3 linked regions of the Ovis aries genome follow. The protein of the gene in region 2 purifies or fractionates together with the protein of the main gene of each other region. This does not show direct contact. Links are inferred from orthologs where the notes say so. Each region holds a gene or a part of one and is shown on either strand. Other genes may lie near its edges. The genes, in order: SPAG9, RCCD1 and KDM8.

Evidence for each region.
Region 1: the proteins of RCCD1 (region 2) and SPAG9 purify together in Homo sapiens (affinity purification with mass spectrometry; 3 studies listed by BioGRID and IntAct, counting the BioPlex papers as one, with this or other methods). This does not show direct contact. The link is inferred for Ovis aries from reciprocal best matches to the Homo sapiens genes RCCD1 and SPAG9.
Region 3: the proteins of RCCD1 (region 2) and KDM8 purify together in Homo sapiens (co-immunoprecipitation; 3 studies listed by BioGRID and IntAct, counting the BioPlex papers as one, with this or other methods). This does not show direct contact. The link is inferred for Ovis aries from reciprocal best matches to the Homo sapiens genes RCCD1 and KDM8.

Annotation. Positions count from the first base shown.
Region 1 is NC_056064.1:35,516,346-35,524,036, forward strand, and holds part of SPAG9 (C-Jun-amino-terminal kinase-interacting protein 4), read left to right. Parts: intron 1-278; coding exon 279-497; intron 498-762; coding exon 763-958; intron 959-2,257; coding exon 2,258-2,383; intron 2,384-3,576; coding exon 3,577-3,657; intron 3,658-4,323; coding exon 4,324-4,391; intron 4,392-6,415; coding exon 6,416-6,564; intron 6,565-7,560; coding exon 7,561-7,691. UniProt on the Homo sapiens protein: The JNK-interacting protein (JIP) group of scaffold proteins selectively mediates JNK signaling by aggregating specific components of the MAPK cascade to form a functional JNK signaling module.
Region 2 is NC_056071.1:21,018,058-21,025,039, forward strand, and holds part of RCCD1 (RCC1 domain-containing protein 1), read right to left. Parts: exon of another isoform or gene 6,497-6,982; 5' UTR 6,380-6,496; coding exon 6,205-6,379; intron 6,122-6,204; coding exon 5,737-6,121; intron 5,557-5,736; coding exon 5,435-5,556; intron 2,986-5,434; coding exon 2,887-2,985; intron 2,221-2,886; coding exon 2,050-2,220; intron 1,419-2,049; coding exon 1,389-1,418; intron 874-1,388; coding exon 722-873; 3' UTR 1-721. UniProt on the Homo sapiens protein: Plays a role in transcriptional repression of satellite repeats, possibly by regulating H3K36 methylation levels in centromeric regions together with KDM8.
Region 3 is NC_056077.1:25,311,606-25,318,274, forward strand, and holds the end of KDM8 (bifunctional peptidase and arginyl-hydroxylase JMJD5), read left to right. Parts: intron 1-1,075; coding exon 1,076-1,120; intron 1,121-4,380; coding exon 4,381-4,530; intron 4,531-5,322; coding exon 5,323-5,415; intron 5,416-5,490; coding exon 5,491-5,655; 3' UTR 5,656-6,467; downstream 6,468-6,669. UniProt on the Homo sapiens protein: Bifunctional enzyme that acts both as an endopeptidase and 2-oxoglutarate-dependent monooxygenase.

The sequences.
Region 1 (7,691 bases), on a different chromosome or scaffold from region 2:
AAACACATTTCTGACATTTTTTTGGTTTACTTGTGCTTGCATTAGTTATTATTTATTATTGTTGCATTTATTTTCTTAATTTTTTAAACTACTTTCTCAATTTGTGAATTGAGTTTAAATTAGTTTAAATAAAATTTATTTACCATCTTGGCAGTGTATTTGCTTAGATATTTGTCTCACCTTTACTCTTATTTCAAACCTATAGTTGCTTTAATAGAGAAAATGCTACTTATAGAAGTTTACTGAGCTATTTAAAGAAAGTTTATCTTGTACTTCAGGAGCCCGAGAAACAGACTACCCTGCAGGAGAAGAGCTTTCAGAATCCGGACAAGTAGACAAAGCATCTTTATGTGGAAGCATGACAAGCAATAGCTCAGCAGAGACAGATAGCCTGTTGGGAGGCATCACAGTAGTTGGTTGTTCTGCAGAAGGTATAACAGCAGCTGCCACTTCCCCTAATACCAATGAAACTTCTCCAGTGATGGAAAAACCGCCGGGTATGTTTGTCTTCCCTAGACACCATCTGTATAGTTTCTGAGCCTGTCCCAGGTGACTCAGTATGGACTTAAGTTAGATTTTAAAGTAACAGGGATGAAAGAGCTTGAAAGAGGATGCTGTGATGATTGTTAAATGAAATCAAGAATCCTCAATTTTATTATATGGAGAAGAGGGTAAGAGTGGAATTCTGTAGAGGGGTTTTGGTAAGTGATTGGAAGAAAAGCTCAAACTTGGAATGGTTAGCATGCTTTATTTATTTTTTAGAAAAGGAGACAGAAAATAGTGAGATTGATGAAAATGTTCCAACAGCAGAAGAAGCAACTGAAGCTACAGAAGGCAATGCAGGATCAGCTGAAGATACTGTGGATGTCTCCCAGACTGGCGTGTACACAGAGCATGTGTTTACAGATCCTTTGGGGGTTCAAATCCCAGAAGACCTCTCACCAGTGTATCAGTCAAGGTATAAAAATGCGTAAACACCTGAGGAAACCAGAGTGCACATGTAAAGGAACCAAAATGATCTCAAGCAGCCAAAATATTCCTACTAACTGACATTGTTGTGGCGGATTTAGATGTTATTACTTATTCCCACTATGTCTTCATCTGTTACATTGCAGAAGAAAAATCTAGACATATTTTTCCCCTATTTGCTCTCTATTCCTTACAACTTAAAAAAATCTTGCTTATAAAGTATATTGGTCAAAATCCTTACCAGTCAGTGTGGATTAAAATAATGAGTTATTAACAGAATAGAATACAGTGAGTACAATTTTTTTTTAAAGCCATACCAAATATCTATGGATTTTTTAAAAATTGTACTGTCTTCTATTCTATTAATAACTCATTATTTTAATTCCCACTCCTACACCCACTCTATCCACAGAACTGCCCATTTAAATTTCCCATGTGGGTTTTAATGACCTTTTGAATTTAGATTTCTGGCAAGTATTTTATTAGAAAACAATTTGTTTCAGACTTTTCCTTCAAAAGAAAGAGTTGTTTAATTTCCTTTCTTGCCTTCTCTAGACCTTATAGAAAGGTGATAGGGGTATAAAGTCATCTTTTTAAACTTACTGATTCATTTGTCTGTTTTGAATTTGATAGCCCAGTTATGCTTTTTTTTTAAACTAACTGTCCTCTGACAGTCCAAAGAAATAAAGTTTGGGGATAGAATAAAAGCATGTTTCAGTTTATTTATTTTAGAACATTGTTTATAATTAACCCTCCTGTGATGTCTGTGTGTGTGTGTGTGTGTGTGTGTGTGTGTGTGTGTGTGTGTGTGTAGGTATGTATGTGTAGTTTTAAAACAAACCATCTCTCCTCCTTCTATCCGCACAGAAGAAACTCATAAAATTCAAGATAACTATAAGAGAGAATTAACTTTAGTCTGGATATTAACTGCTATATTTCGTTACTGTGTCTTATTTCCCTTTTCTGTGCCTTGAACCTCCTAGTATGTCAGTGTTACTTCTGGTACAATTGCTGCAATATATATATTTATATACCTTTCACTCCTTTCTATTCTCCCTCCCGTCCGCCTCCCATTGCCTTGCCTTGCCTAGCTGCCTGTCTGCCTGCCTGCCTTCCCTCCACCCTCCCTCCCTCCCTTTCTCACTGTCTCTGAAATGTTTAATATAATCATCTAACTTTGGCTTTACTGGAATTTATTTTTTTAACAGTACACTAAAATGTAAAAATTATCAATTCCTGAAAACTGTAGCTAAACACAATAAGATTTTTTTTTCCTTTTTTCCCACAGTAATGACTCAGATGCATATAAAGATCAAATATCAGTATTGCCAAATGAACAAGACCTGGTGAGAGAGGAAGCCCAGAAGATGAGTAGCCTTTTACCAACTATGTGGCTTGGAGCTCAAAATGGGTGGTAGGTATCAAATCTTTTTAATATTAGAAATCTTAAGTCTTTCAATTTTGCTTTAGAAATCTTAAGATAATTAAAATGTGCTACGTACAAATACAAACAAAAAGTGCCTATTAAAGTGAAGAATTTTATATACACACAATTTTGAAGTTATATTGCAACTACCTCATAACTTGGACTTGGACTTGCATTGGTTCTGAGTGGTGAACCGTATGTTTGTCATAGGATGTTTCCTTCATATAATATTCTTGGGAAAAAAGTTAAGTAAACTTAAAAATCTGGGTGATCTAAAAATAAGAGATCCTGTTGTTCAGGAAATAAAAGGGATTAAAAAAATCTCGGGCTGCAGAAAGGCCTAATTTTAAACATAACTTCTGGGAAAACAAGGACAAATCACAGTCTAAAAGCTTAGGAGTTGATAAACACTATAGGACTTTTCCACTTTGTAGTAGTGTGAAGAGTCTTACAAACTTGTGCTTTTCCTAAGGTTAAACGAAATCACTAGTGGATCTTTCCCATAAAGGACTAATACTACAAAATGAAGGTTTGACGTACGTTTCTCTATGAAGGGTCAGACAAGAAATATATCAGGTTTTGTTGCCTTATGATCTTTGTAGCAACTTATTAACTATGCTGTTGAGGTGCAAAAGCAGCCACTGCATTGACAATACCTAAGTGAACTGGTGTGGATATGTTCTAATAATAATAAAACTTATGAACACTGAATTTCATATAAGTCTTGTATGTCATGAAATACTCTCCTTTTGGTTTTTTTTTTTCCCAACCATTTAAAAAATATAAAGACCATTTTTAGCTTGAGACTGTACTAAGACAGGTAGATGGCTGGATTTGGCCTATGGGCCTTAGTTTGCCGCTCCCTGATGTAAACCGCTCTATTATCAGAAATTTATAGCTCAGTAAGAAGACTATTTTTTTAAAAGATTGATAGCCAAGGATTCTGAAGTATGTGGTAATCTGAAACCAACCATGCGTTAGTTCTGGCTTTTCCTTCTTTTTATGTTTCTGTTTGCTTAAGCAGCTTATTTCTCTGCCTTAGGCCTATCCTTTCCTTGTTTTGTCCTGAAATTTTTATGTTACTCTTCTTTTCTTTTGAAGAAACTTTGTGTCATTATTAGATATAAGCAACTACTTGATGTGTTCTCTATGCCTTACCAGTCTTGATTTTGTTCTTGCAGTTTGTATGTCCATTCATCTGTAGCCCAGTGGAGGAAATGTCTCCATTCTATTAAACTTAAAGATTCGATTCTCAGTATTGTGTAAGTTTTATTTTAGAAATTCTTCCTTTGAAAAATATGTATTTTGGTATAAACTAGATTCTAAGACTATTAAAGTTAACATGTACTTCATGACTAAATCAGTATCCATGTCTTTTTTAACCCTCTTTATGAATGAGATTAAAACTAGAAAATAAACCAAGTAATTTTAAGTAGAAGAGAAAGCTTTCTAGGTTGATTCCTCACTGTTCTGAGAGTTCTTTAGCCTGTTGGTGAGAAAACCAATTAAAACCCGTGATATTTGTTTCAGAATATTCTTTACACTTTGTGAATATGCTGATTGGGTGATTGATTTACCAGTCCTTTTCTGTATGTTGACTGTGAAAAGTCAGTTTGTCTCTTAGATCCACAGAGCTGACTCTTTCTACTCAAGGTGTGTGCCTCTGGTCTGTGGACCTTTTGTCTGCAATGAGAGGAGGTTAGAAAGTGAAACAGCTGAGTCACCACACATGCTTCCTATTGAGTCCAGCTGACATTTTCATAACGAGACTTTTCTCAATGAAGAAAAGAATCTGTTCCTTTAGATTCTCCTGTAAGCTCCTCACATCACAGATTGGTCTTCTGAGAACCTCTGAACTAGTTCAGCAGCGTGTGGTGTCTTCTGCACTCCCAAATGGAGAGTTCTAAGACCCCCTTTCCTGTTTGCAGACATGTGAAAGGAATTGTGTTGGTGGCCCTGGCTGACGGCACCCTTGCAATCTTTCACAGAGGAGTTGGTGAGTTTCATGAATATGTAACATGTGTGCTGATTCGTTGCTTTGCAAGAGCATGTTCAAACATATTGACCTCATATGTTTTAAAGAAATGATATTTCATAGAAGAAAGAATAAAGATTTAAACTGAATACTAACCATGTATGAAATGAGTAAATATGTGAGTGCCTGACTGGAGGCATACATTAATCATACACCTCAGTGAAAATTTGTTTACCATACTGAGCAAATAGTCCTTATGGTCCTCTTAAATAATGTGCAATGGAAGTATTTATTTGTTTTATTTGTTTTCTAATCATAGGCCTAATTTAGTGAGAGTACATGGTTTCTTTTGTCCAGTATTTTAAAAGTAATTTGCATTCACTTACATTTGGAATGTTCTTGAAAAGAATTTTTAATTAGCTAAAGTTTAATCATTTTCTTGTCATGTTTTTTATATTCTTCCCCTTTAAAGTAGTGTTTCTACCATCTGCAGACAGAAGGTGTCAGAAAACTGCGCTGAGTGAATTTAAGAAATTGAGTATATAATTCCTTGGTACATGTATAGTCCAAAAGTGATATTTCCTTCCTACTAGATTGGTAGATCAGGGAAATATAAAAATATAGATCCGATATGAGACTTTGGAAAAGCCTTGCAAAAATTAATTTTTTATTTTATTAATTAATTTTTGCAAGGCTTTTCCAAAGTCTCATATCTTTTTGCAGCCTCAAGAAATGTGAGGTAGATGATACTTAGGTGCCTAGAGATTTTTGGTTAATGACTCCATAATGAAAAGAGAGGCCTCTGTTTTACATTGTTCAGGGCCTTTATAGACGGTATCTGAGTTTAATCCGCACAGCAACTTATGAAGAAAATTCTATTGTCATCCTCATTTTGTAGCTGAGGAAACTGAGGCACAGTAGTTACTTGTTCCTGGTCACTCGACTAGTGAGTAGGAGAACCTAGAAAAATGGAATAATAAATGTTTTGGTAGACTGAATTGAAAACTGAGCAAGACAGAATACATTAAATAAGGATAAATGTAAAGTCCTGCATTTGGGTTCCAAAGAGTAGATGGAGATTTGTGTGAAGAGTGACAGTTACTTAAAGGGTGACATTAAACTCAGTACAAGTTAGTTAACATGCTAAACCTCATAGAAATTAGTGTCTAGAGCAGGGCTGGTGATCCTGCTCCACTCTGGTAGAAAGATAGCATGAAATGGATCTAGACAAAATGGAGTTGGGATGAAAGTTCCATAAACAAATGTGTCCAAAACACGAAGACAGGGCAGTAGCAATGAAGTGAGACTTACTCTGTGAGGTTTATTCTGTGTTTCCATTAGGCATAACTATAGATGAAAGAGTGATTATGTACAAGAAGGCAGACTTTAGCTGAGTATGGGGAATATTTTAAGATAATTACAGTTTTCTTAAAATGAAACAGCTGCTTTGTGAGGAATTATGTTTTCCTTCACTGAAATTATCAAGCAAAGCAAGCTTACAGTGGTTGGTTCTCATTTGTAATGAATTTCTTGTCATCACTAAAGTTATGCATAATTCCTAAAGCCTTAGCAGTGAGTTGCCCTTGACTTCTATCTAAGAAGATACACCAAAAATGCAAGTGAGCCAGAGCGATATTATGCCCCAAATAACCTTAAATTCATTATAATACCTAAAATACTTTTGTAAACAGGTAACTTAAAAATAACTAATCACATCACCTCTGTTGAGAGCAAGGGGGTCCAGGTAATGGGTGGCAGGTTGGACCATATGATCTTTGAGATCTCATCCAACTCTGTTTGATTTATATCTGATTTACAGATTTAATTTATAGATTAATGTCTGTAATATATACACTGTATGTATATATATCTGTAATATATACAGCTTGCCTGGGATTAATATCTGTAAATATACACTGAAATACATGATATTTGGTGATACTTCATTAATAAATTTAATTACACACCCAAATAAAATATTTTTTGAGTTAAAATTGAGTAAAAGATGGTATACATAAACTAATAATCTACTCCTTATTTTAAAGATGGACAGTGGGATTTGTCAAACTATCACCTGTTAGATCTTGGACGACCTCACCATTCCATCCGATGCATGACTGTGGTACATGACAAAGTTTGGTGTGGCTATAGGAACAAAATTTATGTGGTTCAGCCAAAGGCCATGAAAATAGAGGCAAGTTAACCCATGTTTTCTGTACTTACTGAATTTATATTACCTGAAATCCCTAAGATTCAATTATTTTCAGCTTTTTTAGAAATTGTTTTCTGAATCTGTGTATTTTGAGGTACTTCAGTGATATACTGGATGAATTCTCAGCTTTCTATGATACTTTATCTCTCTTGCTGCTTTTGACTATGAGTATGGGAAGTGATTTTTTTTTAAAGGAAGGAAGATTCACACATGAATGTCTAAATGTATGTCTGAGTATCTGTAGACCCATACGTGTACTGCTTGAATACGTGGTTCTTGAAATGTTTAGTCATGTAGAGGTGGTTTGGGAGAAGAACTCTCAAGTCTCCCCCACTACTCAGTGTGTATTCAGGCAAATCCATATGTATGTCACAGACTGAGGAATCATATTGCAGTGGGAATTCGTTGTAAAAATAAAAACCTCTTAGCATTGTTGTCTTTAAAAAGTTTTGCCACAATATATAAATTTATTCTAATTGTTTAAAGAAAGAAAAATAGTAGGAAATTTTTAAGGTGGAAGTTCTCCATTTGTCCCAAATCCTGTTTACAAACCTAGAAGTTCCATTTGGTGTTTATTTTTTAGATATATTCTTTACATGCAGGTATATGCTTACATATATAGCACAGTAGGTTCATTTTTGTTTAACTGTAAATAGGATCTTATTTGGGGTCTTGCTCTGGAGCAGTGCAAAATCCTGAGGTCCAATTCCATCTTTTTGTTGAATGCTGTTACATAGAATGAATGTGTCAAGATTGCTTTCATAAGTTGATAGTCTACACAACATCCTTTAGCTCTTTTTTTTTTTTTTTTTTTTTTTTGCAGTATGGGATAATAGCAGTTGTGTATATAAGAGTAAACAATACTTAGGCTCCTCTTTTATTAGGTGGTCTGTCAGATTATTGTGCAAATTAGCACAGTTTTTAAGCACTAACTCCTAGATAACTAAAGTAACATTGTGATTGAACAATCTGTTCTAGAAATCATTTGATGCACACCCCAGGAAGGAGAGCCAAGTGCGGCAGCTTGCCTGGGTGGGTGATGGCGTGTGGGTCTCCATCCGTTTGGATTCCACACTCCGTCTCTATCACGCACACACTTACCAACATCT
Region 2 (6,982 bases):
CCATCCCTTCTCAAGGGAATCTTCCTGACCCAGGGAGGGATTCAACCCAGGTCTCCTGCATTGCAGGCAGATTCTTTACTGTCTTAGCCACTAGGGAAGCCCTTTAAAAATCTACCCACGTCTATGTTCTACACCCTCAAGTTCACGATTTCATCATGTCTATGATGCCGGCCCTGGCTCAGCTGGTAAAGAATCTGCCTGCAATGCAGGAGACCTGGGTTCAATCCCTGGGTTGGGACGATCCCCTGGAGAAGGGAAAGGCTACCCACTCCAGTATTCCGGCCTAGAGAGTTCCATGGACTGTATAGTCCATGGGGTCCAAAGAGTCCGACATGACTGAGCGACTTTCACTTTCTCTTTAAGATGCGTCTCTAGGCATCCAGTTACAAATCTCCTGGTGTTTCTCTTTTTCTCTGGGAGTGTGGGGCACACAAACCCTGCAGCCTGTGGAATCTTAGTTCCCCGACCAGGGATTGAATCTGCTCCCTCAGCAGTGAAAACGCAGAGTCCTATCCACTGGACCACCAGGGAGTTCCCTCCAGGTGTTTCTAATGAGGGGAAAAAGTTGAAGATGCTGCCTGCTCTAAGGTGGAGCAAGAGGGCTGTGACTGGGAGAGGCCTCTGGGTGCTGGCAGTGGTTTTCCTTGCCCTGTGGGGAGTTTCACAGGTGTTGGCTGTATAATTTTCCACTCTACTGTTCTTTTATGCCCTTATCCATAGGTTAGCTCTTCTCTTTCTCCACAGCATACACATAGGTGTTCCAGGGCCCACAGCTCACAGTTCTTACTTGGAGTTGCTTATCTACAAAGTACTCCACACGGCAGGGCCGGTCCAAAGTAGTTGTGTCCTTGTGGCCGAGCTGTCCATATTTACCTAAAGTGAAATGAGCCCCTTTGCCATCCTCTGCTGGGCCCTGTGGCTTCTCCCCTCCAGGAAGGAAAATCAGCCCATTGACCGAAGCGCTGGGCTTAGGCCACCACTCCGCTGCTGTCTGCTCCGTGAGTTCAGACCAGCAGCATAGAGCCAGGCAAATCCTCCAGGCTCCCCACTCCTAAAGCTCAGATGCCCAGAGATTTTCATTCTACCTTTTTCTCTTCCCAGGGCCAGACCACAAGAGGTCACAGAGATGCTGGCGAGATATTCCCTTGGGATACATACTTTTTCAGGAAGGTAGATGGGAAATACTGATACTTCCTGTTTCTCTGAGCTCTGCCCCTCTGAGTGTGCCTAGATCTGTTCCAGAGAAGGGAACAGATGGCTTTTCAGTCCAGTGGTCGTGCTGAGACCCCTGTTTCCGCTTCTCTTCACAGCTGTTGTCACTTGCCCGCTACCCGCAGGTCTTTTCCTCCCCTTAGTTTAAGCATCACAAAAGCAAACCCTTTACTTACCCCAGCCCCAGGTGTAGAGCTCCCCCGTTCCTGCAACCGAAAGGACAGTAAAGGGGCTGTTGCCATGCTCTGACAGGGCATGAGTCCAGCTCAGCCTGCCACAACCCACAGCCAGCGCACTGTGGCCGTTGTGCGATTTGTTTGGCAGAGCAACACATATTCTCTCTCCTTTTTTAACAATCGTTACATGTCAGGAAGATCCCTTGGAGAAGGGCATGGCAACCCACTCCTCTGTCCAGAAAATCCCATGGGCAGAGGAGCCTGGCAGGCTACAGAGCGTCAAAGAGAGTCGCAAAGAGTCGGACACAGCTGAAGCGACTTAGCACACAGCATGCACACAGGCTAGTCACGTTCGGGGTGGTAAAGGATCCGGACTGAACAAGTTCACCTTGCTATACACCCAACGGCTATGACTCACAGCCAAATCTGGAGTCTCAGGAGCAGGGTTGGGCAGACCCTCATCCGATGCAAGGCTGGCAAACACTAGCCTCCCCCCAGAACCTTCGGGGCCTGACAGGCTGGGTAGCCTCTGTGAAAGACCCCAGGGAGTGAGGCTGCTAGTCTTTTAAGGGACCACACCCTTTCCTGCAGCCGCCAGCTAGACAGTGTGCAGAGGGGGCTTCCTGCGCCATCCTGAACCAGCCTATCTGGCCCCACTCACTTGTCAGCACTGCCGTGTGCCGGGATCCGCAGCTGACCTTGACTGCCTCTGAGCCCGGGCTGAGATCCAGTAAAGCTGGGAACGGCTGGACCGCTATGAAGGGGGCAGGGGCTCCATCCTCACCCGCAGAGACTCTCTTCACTTCGGAACCATCTTCATCCAGTCCTGAGGCTTCAGAGAAGCAGTAAGAGTTATGATGATAATGATGGTGAACACTCACTGAGACCTGATCTACACCTCGATCATAAAAAATAATAAACCTCATTTATACACACAATAGCTGAAGCCCCTACTCTAGCTCCAAAGCTGTCGCTTGCAACCCCGAATTCCCTGGGAAGTGCTGGAGCTGACAGGCTTGTGGGGTGTGCCGCAAGGACACTGGCATCAGCCTTGCCGTGCTCCCTCTCATAAGGGGTTCAGAGTCCTTCAGTGTGTCCTGGGGTCCCAAGGATATCGCATACCGCTTCTGAGCCCTGTAGCTCTCAAGCCAGCCTATGGCCAGGAGGCAGGAATAACAGAAATGTGTGGAAATCAACAACTGACTCTCACCAACAGACTTGTGGTTGCCGAGGAGGAGGGGGTAGGGGAGGGATGGATTGGGAGTTTGGAGTTAGCAGATACAAGCTATTATATATAGAATGGAAAATACAATAAGGTCCTAATCTGTAGCACAGGGAACTATATTCAATATCCTGTGATAAACTGTAATGGAAAAATATAAAAAAGAATGTATGTGTAGGTATAACTGAATCACGTGGCCATACAGCACAAGGTAACGCAACAGTGCAAATCAATTGCACTTCAATAAAATAAATTTTTAACAAAATCGACCCTCACCTTCTCCTGCAGTTGTCTTTCCATCTTCTGCCAGGCTCTTAGTGGGTAGGGCCAGCTGCCCTGATTCATTCCAGCCCCAGATATAAATATCTCCTGTCTCTGAGGCAGAGAGAATAGGGTCCCATTAAACAGACTCAGATCACCCCTGGATCTATCCACACTCCCTGTACGAGTGTGGCTCCTGACAGACAACGCTTGCCTGCCCCACCCAAGTCAGCCTTCCAGATTAAGTACCTCCCTCAGGGCCCAGCAGCTTCCTTGTCTCAGCAGGACCTTTCTTTCCTCCTTAAGTGCATTCAGTCACCCTATTTTTTTTTTTTTTTGGTCACCCTATTCTTAAAGGACACCTCTTATTAGGCTTTCCTCTCCAGGGTCACTTTTCCCCTTTGTTGTTAACTCCCAGCTCCCACCTCCAACATGCAATTTGGAAATGAGTCCCTGGAAGTTCCCTAGTATCTTTCTTTCACATTCACTGAGCCCAGGCTCCTTTCTTCAGCCCTACCCATCACTGGTCCTGTAGACCTTTTTTAAAAAATGTGTTTGTTTTTTAAATTGACACAGCATTGATTTAATTGACACAGCATGAAACTTTTGTGTAAGTTTCATGTATACAACATTGCGTGTATTTTGACATTGCGTGTAAGTTTCATGTACACATTTTGCGTGTATGTACTACAGTTCGCTTATCACCAAAAGGTCAGTTTCCATCTGTCGCCATACAGTTGACCCATTACACCCTCTCCCATCCCCGAAGGCCTCTAGAAGCTCTCAACATTGCTTGCCTCCTCCCACAACACTATATAGTTTGTTGGCTGGAGCAAGAGCCTTAATGCTAAAAATTCACTAACAGTAGTAGCTGGTTTTATCAAGTGTTTAATCCGTGCCAGTGTTTTAAGCACCATATATCCACTCTACTCCAGAGAAACTTGAGCGGTGAGGTGTCCTGCCCAAGATCACGAGCGGCAGACTGATGCTGATGTGAACCTGGGAGGTCTAGTTTGAAGCAGCAGTGCTCCAACCACATGACACTGAGGCCTCAAACTCTTTTTGGACCTTAGTGTGAGACTTTCCATTGCGCTCTCTTTCTGGTCCTCTCGTCTCCTTCCTCCTGCCCAGCAGTTCTCAAGCCTGGCTGCCAACCCAGGCCCATTAGAATAGGGAGGGGAGAGTGCAGGCCTAAGTTATTTTTAAAGATCCCGAGTGAAACCATGCCCCACGGAGTTAACAGAAGGTGATAACTAAGGAGAAATTCTTGAACTTTCCTTGGAGAACAGATGAGGAACACACTATTAAAACTCCTTTGCTTACTGTAAAGTGCCTTCATTAAGTTCACTTTGGTTATTTTTCTTTCTATTTTTCCCTTAATTGCATACAGTTTCATATAACCCAGCTGTTTCACAGGAACTTGGAGTTAGCAAAAGCCAGCTGGAGACTAGATGGGACCACTGACCCCAAAACTGGGTCTGTGCACGTGGCCAGTGAGTGGCGCTCTGATATCAGAAGGCTCGAAAACTCCACCCTCAGATCATGCTAATTGCCTCTTTTGTACCCCCCACCCCCACCCCACCCCCGCTGCTGCCTGCGTGCCTTGTGGGATCTTAGTTCCCTGATCAGGGATTGAACCCAGCAGTGAAAGCTCCGTGTCCTAACCACTGGACTGCCAGGGAAGTCCCAAAGCGCCTCCACTTTGAAATCTACAGAACCATGTTGACTCAGGTATGCCTGCTCATAACACTGATTACCTCACCTTCTTCCCTACCTCCAATCACCTTTCTCCATGCCTAAGACCACCTGGCTTATGCCATAAATAACCCAAACCCTTCAAGGTGGCAGATTGGGGGCTTATTCTCCTATCTCCTCACTTGGCTGCCTTGTGAATAAACTCACTCTTGGCTATCAACCTTGGTGTCTCAGTGTTCGGCTGGCTGCACAACCCGACCTGGTCAGTAACAATATTAAGTAGTGACCAGAGCCCCTGATGCAGATCCTTGCAAAAATCATTTACCACCAGCCCCACCCGACAGCCTAGCTATCAGCTGCACCTGGATCTCCTGCCAGAGGGGTGAACACAATCTCAAGGGACACTCATTCCCATCCTGGATGACCAGCCACGGCACCAACAGAGCTCACAATGACCACCATCCTCCTCCAGGTGGGCCTCCCAGTGTCCACCCTGTGCCACGCATTACAGCCACCTGGGCAGCTGCTACCTTTCTTCTCTGTCCTCCTTGACTGCCCCTCACCCCTCCATTCTCCCTTGGGGACCAAAATGATAGCCCTGGATGGAGGCAGATGGATGGGAGGGGTAGTGAGACCAGAAGACGGGAAACAACTGCCAACAGTCCCGATTGTGAGGGTGGTGATGAAGGGGCGGCGGGGCAGGCGCTGAATCTGAGGCATTTGGGAGTCAGGAATGACTGGGCTGATGGATGCAGGATTAGCTTGGAAGGAGGCCTGGCTAGGCCACCCATCAGATGGGGAGAGGAGGAGGAAGGTTTGGCGCCTGCAAGATCCTGAGCTGGTTTTGGAAAAGCCCTAGGTCACTCACCACTCAGGCACACAGAATGCCAGCCACCTGCGGCGACTTCAGCCATGCGTAGGCCCTGCAGCGCCTCCAACAGCCTGGGCTCTGGCTCTGGCTCCAGGGTCCCGTGGCCCAGCTGTCCATGCCTGAGGAAAGGAGGTCCCAATCAGCTACAGTCACACCAAGAGGTCTCCTCCGTCCTTGCCCAATCACTCCCTCCAGCCACCTGTATGCTGACCTCCCACTCCGAGGTCACATTTACCGACCCGTAAACCGCGGCATCCCAGCAAAAGCCCAGCGGGCCCACCTGGCCAAGTCCCACTCACCTGCCCGAGCCCCAGGAGAACACCTGGCCCGCGGCGTCCAGCAACAACGCGTGCTCGGCGCCCAGCTCCAGCCGACGCGCCCGCAGCGTGGGGGCCAGAGGCCGGTAGAAGGACGGCCGCGGGCTCACGTAGGCGCGAGCGCAGGGCAGCAGCGGCAGCAGCCCCGCCTGGGTCTCATCACGGTTGGGTCCGTGTTCTGCCTCCTGCACGGCGTGAGACCAGAGGGGCTCCCCGCGCAGCGCCGAACCGGGCGCCCAGGCCTGCAGTTCCGCCCCGGCTCCCGGCCCCGCGCGCAGCAGCACCAGGAGCTCCTCCGACGCGCACGCGTCCGTGTATCCGTCCGCCGCGCCGCCCGCCGCGCCAGACAGCTGCACCCGGCCTCCACCTGCCGGGGGCGGAGAGCGGGCTGGGGACGGAGGGGGCGGCGCGTGCGCCGGGGGCCGGGGCGGGGACGGAGGGGGCGCTCACGGGTCACGAAGGCTGTGTAGCTCCAGCTCGCGCTCACGCGGCAGACGTCGACGCTGCCGCCCGGCATCCTCACCGGCTCGGGGCTGTGTACCTGGCGCCCGAGCCCCGAGCCCAGCGCTTGCCCGAAGCCGCAGAAACCGAAGCCGAACCAGGTCCCGCGACGCTCCTCGTCCATGCCCCGCAGCGTCTTTGGCTGGCTGCGACCTGGCTGGAGCGGCCGGCTAGACAGAGGGTTCGGGCAAGAACCCGGAGAGATTGTTTCAGACGAGCCCTTGCGAGACACTGCAGCTGCCTTACGGGTTAAAAGGGGGAAAAGCCACCACAGAGGCACACGACGTGCATTCCATCGGCGTTCGCTGAGCGGGCGTCCTTACCAGACTTAGAACGATTCGGAGCTGTGTTAAGTGGGGCCCTTTCCCTGTCCCTCCTTTTTGACTCAAGCATATTCACTGTCCCACAAAGTGGGCACCAGGTAGTTAAATAGCCTCTCCTTTAGGCATCGGACTAGGAAACTGAGTCCTTCCCACTCCAAATTCCCAATGTCAGACACATTATCCCATGTAATCCTGGGAACTAGAATTGTCTCCGTTTGACAGTGGAGACTCAGAGAAACTGACCCTTACACAAGCAGGTAACAGCACCGAGAGGGGCAGAAGGCTGAACTCAAGATACATCATTTCCCACCAGTGAAAGGCAAAGGCAACGCCCTGTAAGGGGCAGGACCGGTTCCAGGGCTCACGTTTGCCTCTGCAGCTAGCAACACCTCTGTCCTTAGCCA
Region 3 (6,669 bases), on a different chromosome or scaffold from region 2:
CTGACCCTTGCAGAAGCCTTCAGGCATACTCAGAGAATCCCTCAGCATCCAGGAGCCCGGTCTGAAAAGCACTGATCTTTTCTTTCTTCTGCTTGGCAGAATTTTTCACAAAATGATCATCTCCTGTGTGGTCAGAGATGTGGGAAAGTGGGCGCTCCCATTAACGGCTGGTGAGGACATAAATGATGTAGTGTTGGGAAAACAACCTGGCAGAAGCTGTTAAGATCTAAAATGTGTGTAATGCATGTGCTCCTTGACCGCACTGTTCTACTTTTGGAGGCATATAAACAGAAGGACCAGAGCATTCGGCTGTTTGGGCTTCCCAGGTGGCACTAGTGGTAAAGAACCGCCTGTCAATGCAGGAGACATAAAGGACGTGGGTTGGGAAGATCCCCTGGAGAAGGGCATGGCATCCCACTCCAGTATTCTTGCCTCAAGAATCCCATGGACAGAGGAGCCTGGCAGGCTACAGCCCATGGGGTCGCAAAGAGTCGGACATGACTGAAGCGACTCAGCACGCACACTCGCGTGCATTCAGCTGCTTACTGAAACACCATGGTAGAACCACGTGAATGTCTACCAGCTGGGGGACGGTTGAATGGATAATGATGCATTATCTCTAAAACATGCATCCATCAAAAGAATGAGTCACATATGCATGTATCGACTGGAAGAGATAGTCACGATGTATCATTAAATTGAAAAGCAGACTTCAAAGTAATGCATATTGTATGATTCCATTTTTATTTTAAAAAATCTTTATGTGTGCGCAGCCCCTTCACATTTCATGGAAAGTGAGCCCCGGGGCTCCGGGTGACTTACTCAGGCCCACCTCTTTAGCACAGGCAGTACCAGACCCTGAGTGCCCCCATCAGCCCATTCCTGCTGGCTGGCAAGGGATGACATTGGCCCTGGGCTCAAGAGGAGGGGGTCCAAGGGGGATGAAGAGGAGGGCCCTTGGGTGGTTGCCATGGGCAGGATGCTGAGAGCCAGCTGAACTGGCAGCTCCAGGGACCTCTCTGTCACAACTAACAGGGCTTCCTGTGTCCCTTCTGGTTTTTCTCCCGTGGAGCAGCCGAAGGACATCGGGTACCTTGCTCAGCACCAGCTCTTTGACCAGGTGAGTCAGACCACGCCCCTCCATCCTTCACCCTCTCACCTTCTCCCACCTCCCTCTGGGGCACTAGCCCCAGGGGGCAGGAAAGGGGTAGTAACCTCAGTTGCCTCCTCCTGGTTCTGCCTCCTGCTCTGAGTAGGGAGGCACACTCACCTGATGCCCTTCTCACCAGCAGGCAGCAGGGGGCAGGCCAGGCCCCGGGACTGGGTTGAGGGAAGAGGAGGCCACCTCCGGGTGGCCCCCAGGGGATGGAATGGGAAACCCAAATGTGGTCAGAACTCCCAGAACTGGTTCTGGGAGCCAGGTGAGGGTGGCAGGCTCCAACCTGACCCAGAACAAGTGAGTTCATGCTGATCTTGACCCCTAGCCCCAGTTGGGACTCTGCCAGCCTCTGGGAGCTGCAGGTCCAAAGTTACAGCGGGGAGGCGGCGATGGGGCCAGGAGAGCTATGGTCTCCTGCCTAGGCCTCCCCATGTGAGGACTCATGGGTCCTTTCCCCATCCTCTCTTGCTAAATGAGGAAAAGGGGGATTTGAGTTGATCAGGCCTCTGCTGTGTGATCTCAAGAGACTGGCCTGTCCCATCCCCTGGCCTCAGTCGTACCAGGGCTCAGCCCTCAGCTTGGCTCCCTGTCCTGGAGCAGCTAGTTGCCATTTGACTAGAATACGAGGAAGCACATTGGGGAGAAGGCAAAAACATGATTGTTTTTAAGATGGACAAAGGCGTTGAAGCCGTTTTTGTCTTAGGCCCCCAGAGGTGTGTTTTCTCCTCTGTTGTTCCAACTACCATGGGGACAGTCTGAGCAACCAGAGCCCTGGGGCCGCCATGCAGCACAGAAGGGATGTCTGGCTGGCTTCTGCACGGCTTCTGGGGCCTTCTCCACCAAGCTCAAGGTCTCCCACCCAAAACCTTTTGCCCCAAAACCTCTTACTGACTTTCCTCCCAGTGACCCCATGTTTCAGAATATTTTGTGCTAGGCCTGCCTTCAAGTCTCAGCCCCACCTGGGACAGTTTCTCCTCTTACGGTCTCTGAATCCTTGGCCCGTGCCCCCAGTTACATCATCTGGCCAACCAATCACCTCTCAGGAATCCTGATGGTGTCATCAGGAACCAGTCAGCTTCCCAGCATCCCACAGGGCCAGGGTCTGGTGTAATCCCAGCCAGAAACTGTGTGGTGTGACGATGAGCCTGGCGGGGGAGAAGCAGGTGCTTCTCAGAGGCCTTGGGGATCCTACATGTAGCTTGAGGACCCCCCTCACCCACAGGACAAGGCACCTCAGGTCATGAACTTCTGCGTCAACCCAAAGCAGTGGACACAGCAGCTTTTTTACGAGCAAAACAGCCCCAGCTCCCGGCAGGGAGAGCATTCCAGCCTTCCCTAGCGGTGTGTGCGCTAAAGGAATGGCCAGTCGCCTGCAGACGTCCCTTCAGGCCTGGAGAGCTCGCTCTGAAGATCCCTGATTAAACTAGCAGAGTGGGTCCCCTTTGCAGCATCTGGGGGACCAAACTTGATTCTGTGTTTAATTTCCCAGAGTCCCGGAGCACTTGCCAGTATGGCAGGCAGTCTTGTCAGTTGGGGTTCGGCAGGGCTACGGTAGATTGGCCTTGTTTGGAAAGAACCAGAGTCTCAGAGGAAACCACTCACACTGGCTGAAACCACTTCCTGACCAGACCTGTAGAGGCAGCTCCGGCCCCTCCCTCTGGGCGATGGATTCCGCGCCAGCCCTGGCCGTGGAGCCCCAGCTGCATGCTGTCTGGTCGGAAAGTAGGGTGGGTGTGGGGGATAGGAAGACATGAGAGGGCTGCACGAGGGTACTTGCTGTTTTAAAGTACAGACAGTCCCCAAATGATGATGATTCCACTTTATGGTCATACCAAAGCGATAGGCATTCAGTAGAAACTGTAGTTTGGATTTTGAACCGTGCTCTTTTCCTGGACTTAGTGGTATGTTTACCATACTATGTGATGCTGGGCTGAGTCTCCCGGTCCCTCAATGCAGTCCATCACACAGTCACACCAGTAAGCACTGGATACACTTCAGCCACTCTGGACCTGGATAACATTCTGGTTTTCACTTTCAGTACGGGATCCAATAAATTGGGTGATATCTGTCAACACTCCATTATAAAATAGACTTTGTGTTTGATGCTTTTGCCCAGCTGTAGGCTAATGAAAGTGTTCTGAGCACGTTTAAGCCAGGCTAGGCTCAGCTATGATGTTCTGTTTTCAGCTTCTGATATTTTCAAACTACCATGGGCTTATTGGGATGCAACCCCACCATAAGCTGAGGGAGAATCATCTCATTAGAGATGTTCACTGATGATGCTGGGGCAGGTGAGCCCACCTACCTCCTCGTGCAACCTTGTCTGCCTGCCCCCCACCTGCCCCGGAGTCCCAACTTCACTCCTCCTGGAGGACACCCCCACCCCAGGACACCTCCACACAAAGGCACAGCACAGGCTCACTTCCAACTGGGTCAAGGTCTGCACAGCTTTAAGACTTCCACATATGACCACTTGATGCCACCAGCAGCCTGGCATGGGGCTGCCCACATTACCACATCCTCAGCACCACTGGGTGTTATCACTTTTTCAGTCTTTGCTAATTTGATTAGTAGGAAATGATGACAGTTTTTAATTTGGATTTCTTTGCTGATGGGACTGAAAGCCTTTTTATGTATGATCTGATTTTTGTCCTTTGCTTATTTGTGTAACTTATACATATTGGGATCCTTATTATTTTATATGAATGCTCTACATTAACCTTCATTTACCACAGTTCAGATATTTTCCATTTTATTGGAATACACTTATTTTATATTAATATACTTATTTTCATTTACCTTAAATGTACTGATTGTGATTGCTTTACCATCAGTAAATTTTGGAAAAACCTTCCTCTCCAGAGATTTGATAAATAAATACTTAGTCTCATCTTTTTTCTTTGACTTTCTAAAATGTTGTGATAGATTTAGAAAATGGTAAGCTGGTTTATTTTTAAGACAAAGTAGGGTTGTCAGGTTTTTTAAAAAAGGAAATAAAGATAAAATGCATGTGACATGGAAAGAAATCTGAAAATTATAACCCTTCCCTAGTAATTATATATTTACTTTTAAAAATTGATTTAAAATTCCTATGCAGTAAAATGTGGCTAGCGTCATATTACACAAGAAGACAGTATTGGCCTTCTGCTTAAGAGTCAGTTGACATCTAGGCTGCTGAGTTGCACAGGCCTGGCCTTAACCCGCCTCATATGCTCTGTCAGATCCCCGAGCTGAAGCAGGACATCAGCATCCCCGATTACTGCTGCCTGGGCGACGGGGAGGAAGAGGAGATCACCATCAATGCCTGGTTCGGCCCACAAGGCACCGTCTCCCCACTCCACCAGGATCCCCAGCAGAACTTCCTAGCCCAGGTTGGAGCCGCTCAGAACCTTGGCCTTCCCCTTCCTTCTGGCCCAGCCACACATTATCCATGTTTAAACACCAAGGAGATGAACCACAGACAGGGGCATGGACCAAAGTGAAACCAGAGACTCAGTACCGGGCCTCAGGGAGGGGAGGGGCTGCTTCCAGACTCCTGTATCGTCTGGGATCCCATTGGATGCCTCACACAGGCAGAACAGGGCCGGGTGCCATCTCAGCATGGGGCAAGTGCCCCAACGGCTGCCGCCCCCCTGCCATCCATCAGAGCCAGGTCAAATACAAGGAAGCTGCTCAGCCAGTGGGTGGTTTTCCTGGGACACAGACAGGGGAGCCTGCGTGTGTTATAAGGGAAGGGGCGTGGCAGGGAGCGGGGACATCTGTTATAAAACCTTCCATCATAGGCAGAGAGGTTTGACAAGCCAGAGTGTCCTTCCAGTCCAGGGCCCATTCCCCGCCCGGGATGCGACAGAGAGGCTGGAAGCCCGACCACCTGGCGTGAACACAGCTGTCCCCTCTCAGCTTTGTGAACGTGGGCAGCTCAGCCTCTCTGTGCCTGCATTGTTGGGGGGGATGATAAACCACCTTGGAGGGTCATGGCGAGGATTAGCCAACACACACAAAGCACTTCAACAGCAGTGGCCACAGCCAAGTGCCTTCTGATGGTTTGGGACAGCAGCAAATGCACTCGACCTAACGCGTCTGCTGGGAGTGGGGCAGGCTGGCAGGGAGGGCGTGCGCGGGGACAGCGGGCACCTGCTCATGGAAGGGTCTCTTCCTTGCAGGTGATGGGCAGGAAGTACATCCGGTTGTACTCCCCGCAGGAGTCGGAGGCGCTGTACCCCCACGACACACACCTTCTTCACAACACGAGCCAGGTGGGCCTGGGGGCCCCGGTGGGACCCCCACCCTGTCTCTTGAGACCAGACAGGTAACTCCCTTCACTTTCTCAGGTTGACGTGGAGAATCCCGACCTGGAGAAGTTCCCCAGGTTTGCTGAGGCCCCCTTCTTGTCCTGCGTCCTGTCCCCGGGCGAGGTCCTCTTCATCCCAGCGAAGCATTGGCATTACGTGAGGGCCCTGGACCTGAGCTTCTCCGTCAGCTTCTGGTGGTCGTAGCTGAGAGCAGGGGGCCGGGCACACAGAACGTGCTCATGGTCACACACATCCTTCACACTGTGCCCGGCCCAGGGACCAACTGCCTGAGGACACCTTCGTCAGAGACACGTAGGCCCAGGGGTGGCCCGGCTGCTGTGGGTGGCGGAGGCAGGCAGGCAGGCCCCCAGGAGGACAGTCCAGGTCCTCAACCCACATGGAAGCTCCTGGGCTCCGAGCTGGGCTGCCTGGATTCAGGCCAGGGGCCCATCGCTGAACTCCTGTGTGGTTTGGGGCAGGCAACTCTGCTGTGCACGTCTCCGTCTGGAACACAGGGCAGCGCTGGTCCTCGCCACAGAAGGCTCCAGGGATGGGCACGGGCGGAGCTGTGCTGCAGACCTCAGCTGCTGTCACCAGGCCGCATCATTAGTCTGGTTGTTAACACCATTCCGTGTTGACTGGTCCGTCAGGACAGCCACAGCCTGCGGGCTCTAGAGCACAGTGGCCGTGGCCCGGTCACGGGGCGGGGGGACCCTCAGTGTCTTGCTCAGCTCAGGCCTCTGCTGGGTGGTGAGGAGTCTGGGGTGGTTTCTGTCTTTGTTACCCAAGTGTAACCTGCCTTCAGAGAAGTGCTCACCCCCGCTCGCTTGGTGGATTTTCCACTCTGCACACCCCCGACCAGTTTCCAGTCAAAAAAGAGAACATCTGGTAGGCCCCCCTCCTGCGCCTTGCTGTCTCCATTACCCAGGGGTCACTACTCTCCAAAGAGGGTTTTAGGTCAGGAGAGACCCAGGCTTCAGACTTCACATAAACACATTTGTTTCATTTGTATAAAACATGGTTGGTTTTCTTCTGAGTTTGGACCAGGTGAGGATGCTGGGGACGGGGGTATCACAGACCTACAGGAAGAGCTGCAGAGGAAGCTCGGGGCCAGGCCTCCACCCACCAGGCCTCCTTCCCTCCCTGCCACGCACGCCTGCTGGTCTGGCCTTGGTTTCTGTCTCTCCTCTCTTGCAGGTGGGTAGCTTTCTCCCCTGG